Linked DNA regions of Pelodiscus sinensis. The protein of the gene in region 2 interacts with the protein of the main gene of each other region in a pairwise test. Links are inferred from orthologs where the notes say so. Each region holds a gene or a part of one and is shown on either strand. Other genes may lie near its edges.

Region 1 (10,756 bases), on a different chromosome or scaffold from region 2:
CCCTTACGTCACAAGCCACAACTGAGCTGGGCAGCTGGCCAGCCTGCTAAAAAATTTGTTGGCGGGAGGAGAGGGGGAAATGCATGTAATCTATAGCATTAACCTATAAACTTTTGCTTATCAGGGGTTAACTGACACTATTACATCTCTAGCCCCCCACATGTAATAAAATTGGGCACCACTATTCTGAATTGTGCTTTAATGCCATTTTTGTCTACAAGGAAGAATGGGGGCGGGGGGGAGAGAATGCCATTTTTGTCTACAAGGAAGAATGGGGGCGGGGGGGAGAGATTGTTGAGTTAGTTGTTTTAGTTGATTCTGATTACAGAACTAGCTGTTAGACTATTAGAGTACTGAAGTTTAACTTTCTTCTCTTTCAAACCTCTCAAGATTTTTTATTTTCCTTTTTGTGGGCTTATTCGCTCCTAGATTAATACCTGTGCTGCTATTCCAGCAAATCTCAAACAAAACTGAAACAGTAGTCCACTTTACTTGATACCAACATTTTCTCCAACAGCACAAAACAGAAATTGGCTCATACTGGCTAAATTTTACTCCAGGTCTTGAATTGTCCTAATAATGGGGGTTTAAAATAAGGTAGTATGTATACATCCCACATGGCAATAGTACAGTAGAACCTCAGAGTTAAATATACCTGAGTTACAAAACAGACTGGTCAACCACACACCTCCATTTGGAACCAAAAGAACACAATCAAGCAGCAGACAAAAAAAAAAACACACTATACATTACTGGTACATATAAAGGATTTGACAAAGTAAGGAAACCATTTATGTGCTTGTTTTTGTTCAAATTATGATTAAAATCAGCAATTTCTTCTACATAATAGTTACAAAGACTATCACATCAATGTTAAGCTGTAAACTTTTGAAAAAAACAGTCAAGATGTTTTGTTCAGAGTTGTGAGCATTTCAGAGTTACAAGTCACCTCCACTCCCAAGATGCCTGTAACTGGGACACTACTGTTGTCAGTACCCACTCAGATTAACACTAACAAGATTACCACGCCTAAAAGAAGAGTTTTGTTTACCTTCTGAACATTTTATAGCACTCTGTGATAATCAATTTCATCATACCCTCTGTATAGTCACTTTACCCTTTTGTTGGGTCTTTTTTTATAACAATGGAGTCAACTAATATGTGAACAATATAGAAACATAAAACCATGAAAACTGGTAGTCAATGGGAGACTATTAGGATGGCGTGTGTGGGCAAGGCGTTGGAGCACCTCCTCCACACAAAGGGTGCTCCTCAAAGTTGCTTTGAGCAACATGTGGGTCTATAACAGGAAGGGAGCCTGTCTGAGGGTCCCGCTGGACTACAGCAGGACAGATCTAGCCTGCAGGCTGCCCGTTGTAGGCTACTGGCAATTGACAGAGAAAAAAAAACTAGAATCCTGAGCAAAATAAGTGAAAAACATTTAGAAGCACTGAATTCAGCACTTTACTTAGGTTTCCATCTAAAATGTATAAGTCAAAAACTTTTAAACTGGGCATTAAGATGTTTTAAGTTTACCAAAGATAGAAAAGTCCATTCCAGTGTCAATGTGTGACCTTGTATTAAGAAATATAACTGTCTCATTTGACTAGTTATTGTGCAGTACACGACATAAGTTGGTAAAAATAAGTAGGGCAGTCAGGAACAGGAGTGAGCAATAATTGTTCATGGAGGGCCCACTCCAAGATCTGGTAAGTGGCCAAGGACTGCACTTTTCTATGGATGTGGTGCAGAGTCTGAGAGGTTGGATACAGAAGAGAGCTAGGGGTAGGGGACTGGGATGCAGGAAAGTGTGGGGTCTGAGAGGAAGTTTGAGTGAAGGAGGAGATTGCAATCAGGGGCAGATGAATGGTGTGTTGGGTCAGGGAGAGAGAATGGGTGCAGAAGAGGATTCTGGCTTGGAGTACAGAGTCTGGGAGGGAGTTGACCTGGAGGAGGGGGGTGCAGAGGGTATGGGTGGTGACCTGGGACAGGAAGTTGGGGTATAGGAGGGAGTAGAATGGCAGAAGCAGGCTCCAGCAGGTAGCTGCTTACCTAGAGGGCTCCCTGCCAGCAGCCCTGCAGGACCCCAAGGCAGGCACCCTATCTGCTGCAGCCCTATGCTGCTCAAAATGGCTGGACACTCCCCATGACGCTCTGCTTCAGGCAGAGCGAGGAGAGGAGGATGAAGTGGCTTTGCACGTTGCCACTACCCCCACCACAATTTCTTAGCTCCTACTGACCAAGCAATAGGGGCTTAAAGTGGTGTGGAGCTGCTTTGCGCCCCAGGATCCCAGTGCGAAGCCCACAAGTTGGATTCAGCCCACATCTTGCCCACCTCTGGTCAAAAAGCATAGCTGAAACTCAGAAGTGTTTACTCAAAAAAAAAACCTTGGAATTTGTGTACATGCTATGAAAGAGCCTTGGAAAACATCAATTCCATTAGCTTTGTCTGACTATTTTAACACACACCTATTATGTGGCCCCACATATACAAGAACTGGTTGCTAGATTTAATTCAATGTGTCATCAAAACTTCCAGATGTGTGTCCAAAATCCACTAAAACGCTTGGTTTATGATGTTGTCTAAATCGTCTTTTTTGAAGCCACATAAAGTTACACACTTATACCACAATATAGAAACTCTTTTCAAAATGAAGAGTCATATTTTCTAAATAGCATTTATTAGCCATTCATTTAAAAAAGTCAAAGAACATCAACATTTCAGTAAATGTTGCATAGTCCACTTTGTCAATTTGGAATACAGTATAATCATCACTTCCTGAGAAGCCTAGATGGTTTCAACAAAAATACCGGACACACTTGACATTACATTACATCTTATTTAGAAAACATTTATATTTTCTAAATTTGTTTCCCAAACAGAAAGCACAAATACTGGATTGTGCGGTTTAAAACTGGACACCTGGCAACCCTAGCAAAGCCTAATTATATTCTTCTGCAGCATAAATTTTGACAACATTTTGACAACATGCTGGTGGCATGGCAATCTTTCTAAAATATTGTGGGGTTGATGCAGAAGTTATTGAGTGTGGTTTTTAAGCCAGTATTGTGTAGAAATTCAAACTAGATAATCATGATTGCCCCTTACAGGCTTAAGACCTTTTTTCCAGACTTAAGACCTTTTCTTAAGGTCTGGTGGGGACAAGGACCAGAAGATTCATAAACATTAAAATGACTGCAGTGTTGTCTATTTACATTGCAAGCTCTTTCTGGGCAGGTTCCGTGCCTTCTTAGCCCCACGACCAAAGTACAGTTGAGGCACTATATAAAACACAGAAAACCACAAGTTTTAAAGCAAAAAGAGCTCCTGGCATGAAGAGAGAACCTGTAACAAGGTAAGATCCAGCACAGTCTCAATGCGTTACCCGTGATGCCCAGACTTTGGGGGCCGACACCATGGCCGGAGGATCGCCTCAGTCCAATACAAGTGACGAGGCCTATGGTGCCAGGCTGGTGGACACTCTCCCACGCCGAGGGAGGATGATGGAAACTGTGAGCAGCAGCGGCTGATACGGCCGGACTAGGTGGGGCTGAACTCAACTTCCCACAGCGAGCTGCCACCGCGGGAGCGAGAACTTTTCTTCACAGCTCGCCCGCCCGCCGCCCCTGACCCCCACCCCGGCCGGCCCAGGCGAGCAGCTCAGAGCTGCAGGGTTACAACTTTCCGCTTCCGCTCCAACTTCGGGGCGAGCGGGCGGGCGGGCGCCGGGCACCCCCAGCGCGAGGGGCGGGGGAGCGAGCAGCAGCCAAGCCCCAGACTCCGGCCGCCCGGGTGTCCCCGCTGCCGGGCGCAGGAGGCGGCGGCCGCTCTCGGTTCCTGCTCCGCCATGTTCAGGCACCGGCCCCCTGTCCGCACCGCGCGCTCTTCCCGCCGGCGGGGCCGCCGCCCCGGCCCCTCCACCCGCCCCGCTCCCACTGCCGCGGGGCCACCTGCGCCAGACACACGCCGCTGCCGCAGCCACCGCCCGCCCGGGGCTGGAGCGGCCCCCTGCTAGGCCCGGCCGCCCTCTCCCCCGCCACCTCCGCCTACCGGACAGCGCCGCCGCCGCCGCCGCTCCCCCCAGTCGCCTCCTGCCCGGCCGAGCCTGCTCCGCACGCCCGCTCCCTCTCGCGCTGCCGCTGCCTGGGCGAGGCTTGGAGCCGTCGTCGTGACGCCGCACGCCGAGCCTCGCTCTGGTTCCCCTACCCCGTTCCGGCGGCGGCGGGGGTGGGGGGGAGAGGAGGTAACTTCGCCGCCCTGCTTCCAAACTGCGCACGCGCGAGCCCCAGCCTCGCTGCGCACGGTCCCGCCCTCGCTTCACGCAGAACCTCTCCCCTCTCGCGCCCATTCCGGCCGATTTCCGCTCCCCGCCCGCATCGGGTAGTGGCGGGGGGAGGGGCAGGCACGTCTCCCTGCCAGGGTCCCGGGGTGGGGCCGAACTGATGGAGGGTTGCGGGCAAACAGGGCAAAGAGGCGCAGGGGGGAGGATGTTCTTGCACTGCCTCACTCCCTGTGCTTTGTACTAGGCATGCAATAGTGTAGCTGATTAACCTGTAAGCAAAAACTTAGAGGTTAATGCGATGAGTTACTTGCATTTCTCCGCGCTCCCTCCCCCTACTCAGTACATTTTTAAGCAGGCTAGCCAGCAGCCTGGCTCAGTCCTAGCTTGCCACAAGTCTGGCACCTACCCGTGCTGTGGCTCTGCATTTAAAGTGCATTGGGGCTGGGCCGGCAAACAGCCCAGCTCAGTTCCAACTTGCACGGGTCCAGGAGCTCAGACTTCCACCCAGACAAGAGCTGCTGCCACCCTATGCTGCTATCTTTTTAGCAGAAGCAACAGCACAGGGTGACAGGAGCAGGAACTGTTTTTTAAACTGGCTCCCCTCACAGACCAACACCTGCCTGATACTCTGCACTGATGCCTGTGATATAGAGGCAGCAGCACGGAGTAGCAGAGGGCTCTTTAGGAGTGAGGTGCACTGGCTGCTGGACCCCACCCCCGGGGGCTATAGAATAGTCAACTAACCAATAAGAATTCATAAGGTTAGTCGACTATTCAGTTAAGTGATATTTAACATCCCTAGTTTGTACCTGCTTGTGACCCACATTTGCAGTATCTGTAGACGTTGGCCCCCTAAAAGCTCTTTCTTCACCCACCTTGTTTGTTTATATGGAGTCATTTTTACCCCCCATGCACCATGTCACACCAAATGGTTCTCACTGACTTGCTCCGTTAGCCGCAACTGCCAGCATGCTCTGAGGGCTCAGGCCTTACCGTACTACCCTCTTGCCTGCCCCATTCGGGAGTAGGATTTGCATAATTGCAAATGACTCATGAATGGCATCCATTGGCAACTTATGTAGGCAAGGGCAGGCATTGCCTTCCCACAAAGACCAAGGTGGTCCCACCCATGCTCATGTACAGCTGCTGTAATAGGCCAAGGAAGGCAATGCCTTTGCCTGGTGCTGTCACCAACCCACTGCAGGACAACTAGCACACAGTCCACCTTTAGGGCAGGGGGAGCTGGCACTTGGAAAGGCTGCTGGCAGCTTGGCCCAATGCTAAGAACAATCTGGCACTCAGGGAGAGGGGATGCAAACAGGCACTGGGTGCAGCCCGGTGCGCAGGGGAACAGAGGTTCAGTCTGGTGGGCTAGGAGGGAGGGTAGTAGCAGCAGCAGCTTGGCCCATTGTGGCTGGGGTCAGGCCAAGGATCCTTTGGTCTTCAGGCTCCTCCTTAAGGCTTTTCTTTTTACAGGCAGGGGGAGAGGCTTTAGGGCTCTAGCATATGGGGACAGGGTCTTAGGGAGCAGGTGGGCATGCCTCTTTAAAGCAGTCATTCACTTGTCATCCATGCCCAGCTGGGAAAGCTGAGGCCATATGGCTTCCTGGCAGGCCAGGAAGGCTGGGGCATGGCTGCCCAACTGCTCCTGGGGCTGGAGCCTGAGCCACACAGCTGCCCTATGGATCAGTGTAGCACCAAAGCTATCTGGCTGCTCCAGAGTCTGAGGCTGTGTGAGAACTGGGGCTGTGCAGCTGCCCGGCACTGGGGGAGGAGGGGAGGCACTAGCCTTAGGCAGGGGCCAGCAGCCATGCTAGTGGGGCTGGGGTGCAGGGCAGAGACCTGTCGCCAGGTGGGCATAGAGTGGTCAGGGGCAGGCTGGGACTTCGTCCCCAAGTCAGTTGTTCACCCACTATCTCATATTGGTATCTGTATCCTTGTCATAGACTGCCTCAGAGTTTGGGGAACAAAATGAAGTCTTCCTGTGGTATTGCCATCAGTCAGGAACTGAAATAGAAGGCTAGTTCTAGGAGAATTTTGTCTAGCAATGTAGGAATTGCCCTATCTACTGGATCAGCATTATGGTCTGTATAGTTTTGTTTCCTATGTGTCTCCAACCTAGGCAAGCATCAGATTCTTCAAAAAGAAATGTAAGAAATCCCATATAAGGGGTTATAGACATATAAGGAGGAATCTGTTTCCCCACCAAGGTTTTAGCCTAATTTTAATAGTTATAGATTAGTTAAAACCATGAGATTGGTTTAAATCCTGGTCTCAACCTATGAAGAAAATAACTTTAAATTATTTTTAAAAATCTGTGGGGAAAATGTAACATTAACATTAACACAAATGCATATATCCCCAATTCTTACCCACATTTGTGCTCTGAGATCCTTGGATAATTGGTGTCATATAAATACAAAATATTATTCTGGACATACCTTATTAAGCCTTCCAACACTTACAATTTATCATTAGCTTCTATTGCCACAGGGCAGGAGACCTATTGAAGTTGAAGGACCTATGACCTTTCTTGATCCTTCTCCTCCAATTTATTAGTGTAAAATTGTCAAATATCAAAATGCCTTTTTTCTTAAAGTCACAAGTGTTCTCTCTCATTTGAATAAAATATTTTTAAAGACTTAAGTATTACAAATAAATTACTTATGTATATGATAAATACTTTGTAAGCAAATGGTTAACCTGTGTACAGATAAAGCTCTTGCTCAGAGGAAGTTCACCACAGAATACATGAAACTGACAGGAAGTTGCATTGAGGTTGTTGGCAAAGGGAGTGGGTGTGGAGGAAGTACCGGCTTTCTGTTTGCAGTACAGAGATAGACAAGAGGAAAAAAAGGATATATTTCCCCAAATTGCATGCTAGTGGAAAATTATTTGAAGTCCATAAAACTCATGATAAATTTATAGTAAATACTATCAGAGCATTGGAGCAGAGGTGGTAAAAGTGCACCAAAAGAGCATACAAATCTCAGTATTAGATGTTCCCTCTGGATTTAAGGCACCAAGCAAGTGACACAGAAATTCTTACTTTTACCTTAAAATATTTTTCTTCAGAGCATTGCACTAAAATAAAATCCAAAACATCATAAAATCTCTTCCAAAGTCTAGACAAATGTCTTGATGTTTTACAGCTAAAACCTGTACAGTACTTTGATAAAACTAGCTAAAAAATAACAACTTTTTAAAAGTACATCAGAAGCAGGAAGACTTCTAAACTTCCAGTGGGACCACTAGATGATCGAGATGCTAAAGGAGCACTCAAAGATAATGTCATTGTGAGAAACTAAGGCTACGTCTAAACTACAAAGATTTTTCGAAAGAGGATGTACAAATTCCTTTTCTGATCGCATTTTTGAAAGAGGATCTTTCAAAAGTGAAGGTAGTCTGGATACGGGGTGTTTTTTTGAAAAAAAAAACCTTTTTGGAAAAAAAACGCTCTTCCTAAAAAAAGGATGTTTACACAGTTTTTGAAAAAGGTTTTTTCCCCGAAAAAAACACGTCCAGACTACTTTCACTTTCGAAAGATCCTGTTTCGAAAATGTCATCAGAAGGAATTTGCATATCCTCTTTCGAAATCAAAACATAGTCTAGACATGCCCTAAATGAATTCTTTGCATTGGTCTTCACGGCTAAGGATGTTAGGGAGATTCCCAAATTCTTTTAAATGACAAATCTGAGGAATTGTCCCAGATTGAGGTGTCATTAGAGGAGATTTGAGAACAAGTTGATAAACTACCCAGTAACAAGTCACCAGGACCAGATAGCATTCACTCAACAGATCTAAAGACTCAAATGAGAAATGTGGAACTACTAACTGTGATTTGTAACCTAACATTTAAATGTGCTTCTGTACCAAATGACTGGAAGATAGCTAATAAGATCCTTTTTTGAAAATTGATATCACAAGTAGGGATGTAAGCAACGAGTCGACTAGAGATGTGACTAGTTACTTCCCCCCCTTGCTGTCTCTATCAGAGGCAATGGGGGGGGGGGGTGAGTATGAGAGAAAGATCAGGAGCTGGTGCTGGTGGGAGCTGGCTTAAAAGCTGGCTCCCCCCAGCATCATCTCTGGGAGGGTTGGGGAGGTAGAGATGTTGTACCAAATAAAAGCAAGCAGGATCTTATGAGGGGGATAAGGCAAAAAGCCACATTTATTGTAAAGATAATAAAAATAAAGAAAAGATAGAAGCAAACAACGTTGTTTAACTACTTATTCCTATCACTACTTAACCCTTATACACTTGTGTGTATATATATATATATATATATATATATATATATATATATATATATATATATATATATATATATATAACCATTCATTCATACATCCATTCATTCAAGTTCTGTGTATAGTTACCAGCCTGGAAGTTGCTTGTGACAGGATACTGGCCAGGTACTCTGTACACAAGTGATGGTAGTGGGGAGCGAAGTCCTGATCAGATGTGCATCTGAAGCTCCTGGTAGGCTGGCAGCAGAACCTTGGACTCTGATTCCATAGTTTTTTAGTCCAGTTCTTATAGGAATTTCTTCCTATGCCAGTCTATGGAAATTGCTGTATCATGCTGATGTCTCCAGGGTGGCTGCCAGGTGCTCATCAGTGAGCTCATCGGGTGGACCTCCAGTTTCTCCACTTGACACCTTTTGGTTGCACTGGCACCTGACGCCTTCTTCAGCCCTTTGTTGCTGTATTCTCAGGCTGGCACCTCTTAGAACCATTCACTCATCATCCAAGCACTCTCTCTCTTACATACATTCCTTAATGTTTCCCATACAATGTTTTTGTATAATAATAACTTTACATATATCAGAGTTGTAGTTACAAAAAGTTTCTGGTAATAATAACTTTACATATATCAGAGTTGTAGTTACAAAAAGTTTCTGGGTGGTATTGCTTAAAACATTCTCTGAGTGCTGAGTAAAGTTACAATGTTTTAAAGAGAACAGGCGTCAATTAAGTAACAATGCCCTTAGTCAATTACAGGGCTTGGCTCCCATAGCAGAGTTAGTGGTTTGACAATGCATTGTTACAATGTATCTTTGCAATGTCAATTTCAAGCAGCCCCTTGCACAAACTTGAGCATGCCCTGGAGCACAGAGGGGGGGGGGGGGGGGGCTGTTTCTGGTTACATAGGATTATATTTTTAACAGTTCTAAGTTACATTACCTAATACATTATATTCTAAAGGGGCAATAATAATCATAAATCTAAACATTTAACAATCTTAACAACTAATAATAATAATAAGAAGAATCCTAATAAATCTAAACACTTTAAGTTGTGGAGAACAAATTATGGGGAGTCACTTCCATTTGGGGGAATCACATTTTTAATACATTAATATGTTATCCCTACAGAGAGACAGTGGGAAATGGCATGAGCGGATACTGAAGCAGTCTCCACTTGCGCTGCTTCTGCTGCGATTCTGCTTTTGAAATGTACAAGAGCCCCAGTGGGTTAATGATTGGTCTATAAGGGCACCTCCGCCTTTGAATTATAGCAAGAGTCCAACAGGGCTCTTGTACATTTCAAAAGGAATTGTCAGACACAGAGATTAACATATTTTATTGGGGAAAGTCAACATTAGTTTCTGTAAAGGGAAAAATCATGCCTCACTAACCTACTAGAATTCTCAGGGGTGGGGAGTGTCAACAAGCATTTGGACAAAGGAGATCCACTAGATATATTTGTGACGGGGTGTGGTTACAGAAGACCCCTTTGGGGATGCTGACAAAGCCACTGACACTCTCCTTGCTCTTTGGGGCTCCTCATTACCCTGTCCTGCTGGGCCAGATCTCCTGGTCTCCTCCAGCCAAAACACAGAGCTGAGATCACCTCCCCTTCCCCTTCCCCTCCCCTCCCCCAACAAAAGAGCAATACTGACACTGAACTTCTTCAGGTCTGAGGAGAATGTAATTTTGAGCACAGATTCCAGGAAACCCCCTCTCCAAATAGGATCAGAACTCATTCAGGTAAACCCCCTTTAATGGTGAAAGGAGGATGTACACACTAATTGCTCTCTCAGGTAATTATTTACACTGGGATTGGTAGTAAATAAAAGGGATTGTATTAAGTAGAAACAGTAGGATTTAAGTGGTGTGGCAAGGTCAGTTCCATTCCTGGGGCCCAGACCCCTGTTTCAGTACACAATTCCTGCAGTCTAGGTACTGTGGCATAGGTCCCACTTGACCTTTCTGACATTGGGCTTCTGTCTCTTGGCAGAAAGGGGTGTTGGGGCACTTGCCCCTGATCAGCCTGGGCTGGGTGATTAGTCCTTCCCAGCTACCAGCTGGACTCTCTTGCTACTTGGGGGGAAGGGAGCCCATGTGCTCCCTGTTGGAGACCTTCGCTTTCCCTGCTGTCTCTGGCAATGCTGCTGTTCTCGATCAGCAGTGACTCCTCTTCCATTTCCCCCTCACCCCCAAAAGGGAAGGCTTTCTTAAGAGACCCC
Region 2 (10,318 bases):
GCACTGGACCCTGTGCCCCCCATGAGGGCGTAGCTCCTCTCCCCCTCCAGGTCACCCTGCACCCCAGCCCTGTCTGGGCCTGCCAGGGGAAGAGGGGCACAAGGCTGGTCCGCGGAGGCCGGTACGGGACCAGTTTCTAAGCTGCTTTCCCCTCAGAGCCCCCTGTGGTGACGCTGCGCCCTGACCCCCTGATGGTGAGCCCTGGGGCGCCGGCTGAGCTGTCCTGCGAGATCTCGGGCTATTTCCCCTTGGACGTGGCGGTGAGCTGGCTGCGCCGGGGCCCAGGCGAGACGGGGGGCGACCTCCTAGAGTACGTGACTGAGACCTGGGAGTCCGGGCATCGGCGTGGCCCCGACGGCACCTACAGCCTGAGCAGCTTTGCCCGCCTGGCGCCCATCCGGACCAGCGACCATGGAGCCACCTACAGCTGCCACGTGACCCACACTGCCCTGGCCACGCCTGTCCGGAAGAGTGTCCAGCTCCGTGTGGCAGGTGGGGCCGGGGCCAGGGGCCATGGCAGGCAATGGGCGGGCTGAGGAGAGAGCAGGGAGGGGGTGACTCTGGAGGTGGGTGCTGGGGGCTCAGGGGGGATGGAGGGGAGAGCGGGGAGGGGGTGACGCTGGAGGTGGGTGCTGGGGGCTCAGGGGGGATGGAGGGGAGAGCGGGGAGGGGGTGACGCTGGAGGTGGGTGCTGGGGGATCGGGGGGATGGAGGGGAGAGCAGGGAGGGGGTGACGCTGGAGGTGGGTGCTGGGGGATCGGGGGGATGGAGGGTAGAATGGGGAGGGGGTAGCACAGGGCATGGGGGGAGGGCTGCCGTGGGGGGGTGTCTCAGTCTCACACACGCACCTGCCCCAGGTGCCACGGGCCCCTCCCTGGAGGACGCCATCGGGATGTTCCTGGCTGCGTTCCTGCTCTACGGGCTCTTCCGCTTCCTCGGAAACAAGGGTGCGTCTCCCCCCAGTGTCACGCCCCCCCAGGTCCCACCTACGCCCCCCACCTCCTCGAAAACAAGGGTGTCCCCCCCAGCATCACCCTTCCCCCCATGCAAATCCTCTGCTACAAAGGTCAGTGCTTCCCTGGCCTCATTCACCCGCCCCACCTCCTAGCAGCCCCCTGCCATCTTCCACTGCACCCCCAACCAGCCAGCCTCCTCTGCAATATCCCCCCCTCTGACTCCCTGTGCCTGCCTCTCCCCCAGCTACCCCCGGCCTGCCCACTGCATCCCAGTCCGCCCCCTGCACCTCTCTCCACCAGAGCTGCTGTGTCCCAATGTCCCTCAGACCCCCCAGCCTCGCCTGTACCCCCATGGACAGGGCTATAGAGCACCTGCCCCCCGTTCTCACTGCTCCTGCCGGGGGTGGCTCACTCCTGTCTCCCTTCCTTTTTCAGTCTGCCCAGCCGGAGCTGAAGAGAAAACCAAGGTAAATACCCCCCAGCCTGTGCCCCACAGCGCTCCTGCCCCTTGCCCCACAGCGCCCCCCTGCTGGGCGAGGCTGGGCGCTCCTGCCCCACAGCGCCCCCTGCTAGGCGACACTGGGAGCTCCCCCTCCACAGCCAGTGTCTTGCCCCTCAGCACCCCCTGCTGGATGAGGCGGGGAGCTCCCCTCCCCCTATCCCCCACAGCCAGTGTCCTGCCCCACAGCGCCCCCTGCTGGGCGACACTGGGAGCTCCCCCTCCACAGCCAGTGTCCTGCCCCTCAGCACCCCCTGCTGGATGAGGCACGGAGCTCCCTTCCCCCTATCCCCCACAGCCAGTGTCCTGCCCCACAGCACCCCCTGCTGGATGAGGCGGGGAGCTCCCCTCCCCCTATCCCCCACAGCCAGTGTCCTGCCCCACAGCGCCCCCTGCTAGGCGACACTGGGAGCTCCCCCTCCACAGCCAGTGTCCTGCCCCTCAGCACCCCCTGCTGGATGAGGTGGGGAGCTCCCCTCTCCCTATCCCCCACAGCCAGTGTCCTGCCCCACAGCGCCCCCTGCTGGGCGACACTGGGAGCTCCCCCTCCACAGCCAGTGTCCTGCCCCTCAGCACCCCCTGCTGGATGAGGCGCGGAGCTCCCTTCCCCCTATCCCCCACAGCCAGTGTCCTGCCCCACAGCACCCCCTGCTGGATGAGGCGGGGAGCTCCCCTCCCCCTATCCCCCACAGCCAGTGTCCTGCCCCACAGCGCCCCCTGCTAGGCGACACTGGGAGCTCCCCCTCCACAGCCAGTGTCCTGCCCCTCAGCACCCCCTGCTGGGCGACTCTGGGCTCTCTCCCCCAGCCAAGTGCCCTGCCCCACAGCACCCCCTGCTGGGCAAGGCCAGGAGCTCCCCCCACAGTTAGTTCCTGACCCACAGTGTCCCCTGGATTTTGTGGTGTGATTCTTACATGACGCTTCTCCCCACAGAAATCAGAGTGAGACATGCCAAGGGCAGCGGAGATTTTGGGGCCTGATCTGTGACCCCCAAAACAAGACTGTGACCCCAGGACAGGAACCAGTGTTGTGGGGCTCAATGGACAGTGAAGGGCAATTTCCTCTCCCCTATGCCCGCTGTGCCGCCAGGCCCCACCCCCATCCTCCCTCACCATGCAGCCGCCTCCCCTGCTGCTCCCCCTGCCCCTCTTGGCCTGCTTTCCCCATGCCTCCCCTGCTGCCCACCCCCCCCCCCCCCCCGGCACACGGCCTGCTCTGGGAAAGGTGGCGGCTGCTGTTCTGCACTGTGGGGCCTTTGGCCCCAGAAATAAAGCTATTTTCCTGGGACACCCCAACTCCTGCCTGGGCCTCGTCATCTCTCAGCCCCACCCCCCTGGAGCCTTCCTCAGCAGAGAGCTGCACCCCACGCCCCCATCTCCTGCCTCAGCAGGAAATCTCCCCTCCCGGCGCATCCCTGGGCCCTCCTCGCCAGGGCCCCTCAGGTTCAGAGACCCAGTAGCAAGGAGTTCCACAGGCCCTTCCCGACATCTTTTGCTATCTGAGGTTGCTCCCATTCCCCTCTGTGATAGGGGGTCTGGTATGTCCTGGTCTTTACTCCCCCCCTTCCCTGTCTAAGCTCTGCCCGCCCCAGCTGGGCTTGTAAGGGGCAGTGGGGCAGAGGGAGGTGTGACTTCCTGCTGCAGGGAGACAGGAAGGCAGCCCTATTGTTTGGCTTCCTCCCCTCTGGGGCCAGGGAAGAATATAGAGACCAGAGGTCCCAGATCCCAAGTGGAGGAGGGAATATATGGACTGGAGTACTGGGAAACATGGATCTGGATCCCAAGGGGAGGGGAAAGTGTATGGACCAGAGAGCTGGGAAACATGGATCTGGATCCTGAGAGGAGGGGAGAGTGTATGGACCGGAGAGCCAGGGAACACGGATCTGGATCCTGAGAGCAGAGGAGAGTGTATGGACCGGAGAGCTGGGAAACACGGAACTGGATCCTGAGAGGAGGGGAGAGTGTATGGACCGGAGAGCCGGGAAACACGGAACTGGATCCTGAGAGGAGGGGAGAGTGTATGGACCGGAGAGCCGGGAAACACGGAACTGGATCCTGAGAGGAGGGGAGAGTGTATGGACCGGAGAGCCGGGAAACACGGAACTGGATCCTGAGAGGAGGGGAGAGTGTATGGACCGGAGAGCCGGGAAACATGGAACTGGATCCTGAGAGGAGGGGAGAGTGTATGGACCGGAGAGCTGGGAAACACGGAACTGGATCCTGAGAGGAGGGGAGAGTGTATGGACCGGAGAGCTGGGAAACACGGAACTGGATCCTGAGAGGAGGGGAGAGTGTATGGACCGGAGAGCCGGGAAACACGGAACTGGATCCTGAGAGGAGGGGAGAGTGTATGGACCGGAGAGCCGGGAAACATGGAACTGGATCCTGAGAGGAGGGGAGAGTGTATGGACCGGAGAGCTGGGAAACACGGAACTGGATCCTGAGAGGAGGGGAGAGTGTATGGACCGGAGAGGTGGGAAACACGGAACTGGATCCTGAGAGGAGGGGAGAGTGTATGGACCGGAGAGCCGGGGAACATGATTTCAATGAGGGGAGGGAGATAATATACAGACAAGGGAGGTATATGGTGCACTGGAAAACGAGCTGGATCTTGGGGGTGGGAGGAGACTGTATAGACTGGTGAGCTGGGAAATGTGGATCTGGATTTCAAGGGAGGGGGAGTATATATACAGACAGCTCTGGAAACACGGATCTGGGTCTAGGGCGACATACGAAGCTGGATCCCAAGGGGAATGCAAGACTGGAGCACTGGGAGCATGGAGCCGGATCCCAGGAGAGGGGGACACATGCAGGCATGGAACAGAGCAGCATAGCGGGTTGGTCCCCGGTTCTGGGACTCTCTGGCCCCGGCTCTGTCTCCTCCGGTCCGGATTTTGTCACGCTCTGCTCTGGGTTTCATGTCACTTCCTTTCTGGACTAGCTCCACCCCAGAATTTCCATCTCCCTGGTAGGCTCTGGGCCGGGCTGTCTGTCTCTGGTTCAGGTCCCTCCCGTTCAGCTCCGCCTCAGGCTTTGGGACTCCCCACTGGCTCTGCTCTGGGCTTTACTGTCCTCAGCCCCTGGAGCCATTCCCAGGCCGGTAGAACTCCGGGTTTTGTGTCTCCCTGCTGGTTCCTGCTCTGGGATTCCTTCCTGCTGCCCCGTTCCCTCCCGTCCCTCGCCCCAGCCCCAGGATTTCCTTCCTTCTGCCCCCATTCCCTCACCTCTCTTGCTCCAGAGCCAGGATTTCCTTCCTTCTGCCCCCATTCCGTCCCTTCCCTCGCCCCAGCTCCAGGATTTCCTTCCTTCTGCCCCCATTCCCTCACCTCTCTTGCTCCAGAGCCAGGATTTCCTTCCTTCTGCCCCCATTCCCTCCCTTCCCTCGCCCCAGCTCCAGGATTTCCTTCCTGCCCCCATTCCCTCCCTTCCCTCGCCCCAGCTCCAAGATTTCCTTCCTTCTGCCCCCATTCCCTCACCTCTCTTGCTCCAGAGCCAGGATTTCCTTCCTTCTGCCCCCATTCCGTCCCTTCCCTCGCCCCAGCCCCAGGATTTCCTTCCTTCTGCCCCCATTCCCTCCCTTCCCTCATCCCAGCTCCAGGATTTCCTTCCTTCTGCTCCCATTCCCTCACCTCTCTTGCTCCAGAGCCAGGATTTCCTTCCTTCTGCCCCCATTCCCTCCCTTCCCTCGCCCCAGCTCCAGGATTTCCTTCCTTCTGCCCCCATTCCCTCACCTCTCTTGCTCCAGAGCCAGGATTTCCTTCCTTCTGCCCCCATTCCGTCCCTTCCCTCGCCCCAGCCCCAGGATTTCCTTCCTTCTGCCCCCATTCCCTCCCTTCCCTCGCCCCAGCTCCAAGATTTCCTTCCTTCTGCCCCCATTCCCTCACCTCTCTTGCTCCAGAGCCAGGATTTCCTTCCTTCTGCCCCCATTCCGTCCCTTCCCTCGCCCCAGCCCCAGGATTTCCTTCCTTCTGCCCCCATTCCCTCCCTTCCCTCATCCCAGCTCCAGGATTTCCTTCCTTCTGCTCCCATTCCCTCACCTCTCTTGCTCCAGAGCCAGGATTTCCTTCCTTCTGCCCCCATTCCCTCCCTTCCCTCGCCCCAGCTCCAGGATTTCCTTCCTTCTGCCCCCATTCCCTCCCTTCCCTCGTCCCAGCTCCAGGATTTCCTTCCTTCTGCCCCCATTCCCTCCCTTCCCTCGTCCCAGCTCCAGGATTTCCTTCCTTCTGCCCCCATTCCCTCCCTTCCCTCGTCCCCAGCTCCAGGATTTCCTTCCTTCTGCCCCCATTCCCTCCCTTCCCTCGTCCCAGCTCCAGGATTTCCTTCCTTCTGCCCCCATTCCCTCACCTCTCTTGCTCCAGAGCCAGGATTTCCTTCCTTCTGCCCCCATTCCCTCCCTTCCCTCGTCCCAGCTCCAGGATTTCCTTCCTTCTGCCCCCATTCCCTCCCTTCCCTCGCCCCAGCTCCAGGATTTCCTTCCTCCTGGCCCCATTTCCGTCTCTCTCTAGCTCCGGGTTTTCCTGCCAGCCCTCATCCCCTCCTCTCCATGGCTCCAGCTCCGGGCTTTCCTGCCTGCATGGCCCGGGGCTCTGTTCCTAGGCTGGGTTCAGCTCCGAGGCTTCCGCCCCGCCCTCCCAGCCTTGCCCCGGGTTAAGCAGCAGGGAGCCGGGTGCCCAGGTGGGTGTGCACGGGGGCAGCGGCGAGCGGGGTGCAAGGGAGGATGCGGGGGCGGGGTGCAGGGGGTATGTGGGGGGGAGGAAGTGGGGAGCAGGGGGTGAGTGGGGGGGAGGAAGTGGGGAGCAGGAGGTGGGGGGAGGAAGTGGGGAGCAGAGGGTGTGTGGGGGGGAGGAAGTGGGGAGCAGGGGGTGTTTGTGGGGGGGAGGAAGTGGGGAGCAGGGGGAGAGGTGAAGTGGGAGGAAGTGGGCACCAGAGGGTGCCGGGGGGGGGGAGGAGGTGGAGAGTGGAATAAGGGGTACAAGGAATGTGCTGGGGAGCAGGGGGTACAGGGAGGGGTAGGGGTGCAGTGTGAAATATGGGGGTGCAAGGAGGGGGAGGGGTATAGGGAGTGTGTTGGGGCGGGGAGGCAGAGTGTAATATGGGGATGCAGGGAGGGGGTGCAGAGTAATATTAGGATGCAGGGAGGGGGAGGGGTATAGGGAGTGTGGGGGTGCAGACTGTAATATGGGGGTGCAGGGAGGGGACAGTGGCTGTGGAGGGTGAAGTGGGAGGAAGTGGGGAGCAGAGGGGTGCAGGAGGGAGGGGGGACCAGGGCACCCCAGATAATTCCTAGAACTGCCCTCCCTCCCTCCCTCCCTCTCTCTCAGTCCCGGACCTCGCCTGACACCCTTCCCATGACTCCTCTGTGGGCCTGAGACGCCCCCCATGCTGCCCCGCTCCCTGCGGCACCTGCTGGAGGGGGCCCGGCTGGAGCTGGAGGGGGACCAGGGGGTCACTCTGAGCGCCTTCCGGAGCTGGTCCCCTGACCCCCCACAGCCGCAGGTGAGATGGGGCTGAGGGGAGGGGTGTGCTGGGGGTGGTCCGGGGGTGGTTAGCTGAGGCACTGTGGCAGCAGTCAGGGTGTGTGGGACAGGGGGAAGGGGGGGTGAGGGTCTGTGTGGTGTGGGTCACGCAGGTGTGGGGGGGTCACACCTGTGTGGGTTTGTGAGTGCTGGGAGGCGCATGTTGGGTTGTCACAGCCTTGGCGTGGAGAGTCCCGGGGAGCTGGGCGCTGGGGCAGCCTCTGGGAAATTCCTGCGCCACCCAGCTGATTAGCCCACAGCTGGGTTTGTGTTTCTACTGGTGGTGCACAGTCACATGTGCCTTGGTGCGCATAACAAAATTATTCCACATGTGGATGGGACACATTACCAGGAACTTGACTGTGTGTGTGTAAGATCAGACCTGTGTTGTAGGTCACACCCTTGCTGCGTGTGACACGCGGGGGTGTGTGGTGGTGTCAGACGGGGGGGCCTTGCTGGGCTGCGTGGTGGGAAGAGTGTGCTGCGGGGTCACACCTTGGCGAGCAGCGGGTTGTCCTGCAGGACCTGTCGCTGGTTGTCACGGTGTGGCTGATTCAGCGTGTGGTTGTGTTGGTTTGGCTAATAGTCGTGCAGCTCGCCAGGGTGCAGGGTGCTCTGGGGGTGTCAGTGTTGGGGGCTATTTGTGATAAGCGGGGGCGGCCAGTGGGGCACTTTCACTTCCTGTCCCACAGCCCCCTTGGTCCCCATCCCGCTCAGAGGAGGCTGCCCAGGGGACGCAATCCGCCCTGCGCTGGGGGATGGGGTGGGGCAGGTTTGGGGAAGTGCCTGGGGGGCAGGGCGGGAGTGGGAGGGGCTGGAGCAGACACAGAAGGCGGAAGCAGCAAGGGAGACTGAAAGAGAGAAACTGAGACAGACAGAGTCCGGGAGGGGGGAGTGTGGGGGGCAGGGCCAGACAGACAGAACCGGGGGGGGGGGGGGGGGGCAGGGCCTCACAGACAGACAGAAGGGGCGGAGCTGGGCCAGACAGACAGGGGGAAGGGGGGGAAGGGGGGCAGCAGGGCCAGACAGGGAGAAGGGGGGGAAGGGGGGCAGCAGGGCCAGACAGGCAGGCTGGGGGGTGTTGGTGGGGGGGGAGGCTGTCTGTCTGTCTGTCTGCATGCCCTGGCCCTTGTGTGTGAGAGGCTCACTGGGTCACGCTGCCCCCTAACCCTGTCCCTCCTGTCTGTGCCCCCCCACACCCCCGAGCCGCCCTGCCAGGCCCCACAGGCCTGTCCCAGAGGGCTGTGGAGATTGGGGGGTCTTGGCTGGGAGCCCCTCCCCCACGCGGCGCCCCAATGAGCAGGACCCAGTGACCCCCGCGGGGGGGCCATGAGGGCGTGCCTGGGGCTGGAGGCTCCGGGGGGCGAGGGGCCGTCCCGCACGCGCTGGTACTGCCTGCCTGTCAGGGTGAGTGGGGGCAGGCGTTTCCGGGGGACGATCGGCTGCGGTGGGGGGGCAGCGATACCGGGGTAACCCCCCTCTCTGCTCCAGCCCCCGGTGACCCTGACGGAGGAGGCTGAGGAGGGGGTGACTTACACGGTGACCGTGCGCCAGCCAGGGGTGAGTGGGGGGCTTGGCTTGGCTCTGGGGGGATGTCCCAGGCTGGCTCTGGTGCTCTCTCCCATAGCTCTGGGGGGAGCCAGGCTGGGACAAGGCGGGGGGCAGGCTGGCTGACTCTGTGCTGGCCCTGGGGTGGGGTGCGGCCAGGCCAGGCTGTGGAGGATTAGGGGGGTGGGCTGGATTGCTGGGGGCCAGGCTGGGTGACTGGGGGGCTGTGGGGCCGGGCCAGGCACTGAGAGGTCTGCAGGGGCCAGGTTAATGGATATTCCCTGCAGGCCCCAGGGGGGGCGCGGTGCCCGTGCTGGTGGCTCAAGACCCGGTTGCTGGGGGGGTCCAGGCTGACAGACTCCCCGCAGGCTCCTGGGGGGGACGCCCTGTGCCGGGTGCTCAAGACCGGGTGCTGGGGGGCAGGTTGCTGGGTGTTGGGGGAAGTCGCTGGGTTCTGGGGGGGTCCGGGCTGACAGACTCTCCCTGCAGGCCCCTGGGGGGGGGGACGCCCCGTGTCAGGGGCTCACGGCCCGGTCGCTGGGGGGGTCCGGGCTGACAGACTCTCCCTGCAGGCCCCTGGGGGGGACGCCCCGTGTCGGGCGCTCAAGGCCCGGTTGCTGGGGGGGCAGGTCGCTGGGTGGGTCCGGGCTGACAGACTCTCCCTGCAGGCCCCTGGGGGGGGACGCCCCGTGTCAGGGGCTCACAGCCCGGTCGCTGGGGGGGCAGGTCGCTGGGTGGGTCCGGGCTGACAGACTCTCCCTGTAGGCCCCTGGGGGGGGCGCCCCGTGTCGGGCGCTCAAGGCCCGGTTGCTGGGTGGGTCCGGGCTGACAGACTCTCCCTGCAGGCCCCTGGGGGGGGGCGCCCCGTGTCAGGCGCTCAAGGCCCAGTCGCTGGGGGGGCAGGTCGCTGGGGGGGCAGGTCGCTGGGGGGGGTCCGGGCTGACAGACTCTCCCTGCAGGCCCCTGGGGGGGACGCCCCGTGTCGGGGGCTCACGGCCCGGTCGCTGGGGGGGCAGGTCTCTGGGTGGGTCTGGGCTGACAGACTCTCCCTGCAGGCCCCTGGGGGGGGCACCCCGTGTCGGGCGCTCACGGCCCAGTCGCTGGGGGGGGCAGGTCGCTGGGGGGGGGCCAGGTCGCTGGGGGGGTCCAGGCTGACAGACTCTCCCTGCAGGCCCCTGGGGGGGACGCTCCGTGTTGGGCGCTCACGGCCCGGTTGCTGGGTGGGTCCGGGCTGACAGACTCTCCCTGCAGGCCCCTGGGGGGGGCGCCCCGTGTCGGGCGCTCAAGGCCCGGTTGCTGGGTGGGTCCGGGCTGACAGACTCTCCCTGCAGGCCCCTGGGGGGGGCGCCCCGTGTCAGGCGCTCAAGGCCCAGTCGCTGGGGGGGCAGGTCGCTGGGGGGGCAGGTCGCTGGGGGGGTCCGGGCTGACAGACTCTCCCTGCAGGCCCCTGGGGGGGACGCTCCGTGTTGGGCGCTCACGGCCCGGTTGCTGGGTGGGTCCGGGCTGACAGACTCTCCCTGCAGGCCCCTGGGGGGGGCGCCCCGTGTCGGGCGCTCAAGGCCCGGTTGCTGGGTGGGTCCGGGCTGACAGACTCTCCCTGCAGGCCCCTGGGGGGGGCGCCCCGTGTCAGGCGCTCAAGGCCCAGTCGCTGGGGGGGCAGGTCGCTGGGGGGGCAGGTCGCTGGGGGGGTCCGGGCTGACAGACTCTCCCTGCAGGCCCCTGGGGGGGACGCCCCGTGTCGGGGGCTCACGGCCCGGTCGCTGGGGGGGCAGGTCTCTGGGTGGGTCTGGGCTGACAGAC

Evidence for each region.
Region 1: the proteins of RGL2 (region 2) and RAP1B interact in a two-hybrid assay, tested with the Homo sapiens proteins (2 studies listed by BioGRID and IntAct). The link is inferred for Pelodiscus sinensis from reciprocal best matches to the Homo sapiens genes RGL2 and RAP1B.

The regions. Positions count from the first base shown.
Region 1 is NC_134711.1:63,350,202-63,360,957, reverse strand, and holds the start of RAP1B (ras-related protein Rap-1b), read right to left. Parts: upstream 4,229-10,756; 5' UTR 4,052-4,228; intron 3,283-4,051; exon of another isoform or gene 3,217-3,282; intron 1-3,216. UniProt on the Homo sapiens protein: GTP-binding protein that possesses intrinsic GTPase activity. Contributes to the polarizing activity of KRIT1 and CDH5 in the establishment and maintenance of correct endothelial cell polarity and vascular lumen.
Region 2 is NW_027465970.1:39,978-50,295, forward strand, and holds the start of RGL2 (ral guanine nucleotide dissociation stimulator-like 2), read left to right. Parts: upstream 1-5,990; 5' UTR 5,991-6,128; intron 6,129-6,775; 5' UTR 6,776-6,833; coding exon 6,834-6,950; intron 6,951-8,039; exon of another isoform or gene 8,040-8,299; coding exon of another isoform or gene 8,300-8,377; intron 8,378-8,461; coding exon 8,462-8,530; intron 8,531-10,318. Other genes in the region: TAPBP (tapasin), read left to right, coding at 157-492, 858-947, 1,392-1,423, 2,389-2,400. UniProt on the Homo sapiens protein: Probable guanine nucleotide exchange factor. Putative effector of Ras and/or Rap. Associates with the GTP-bound form of Rap 1A and H-Ras in vitro.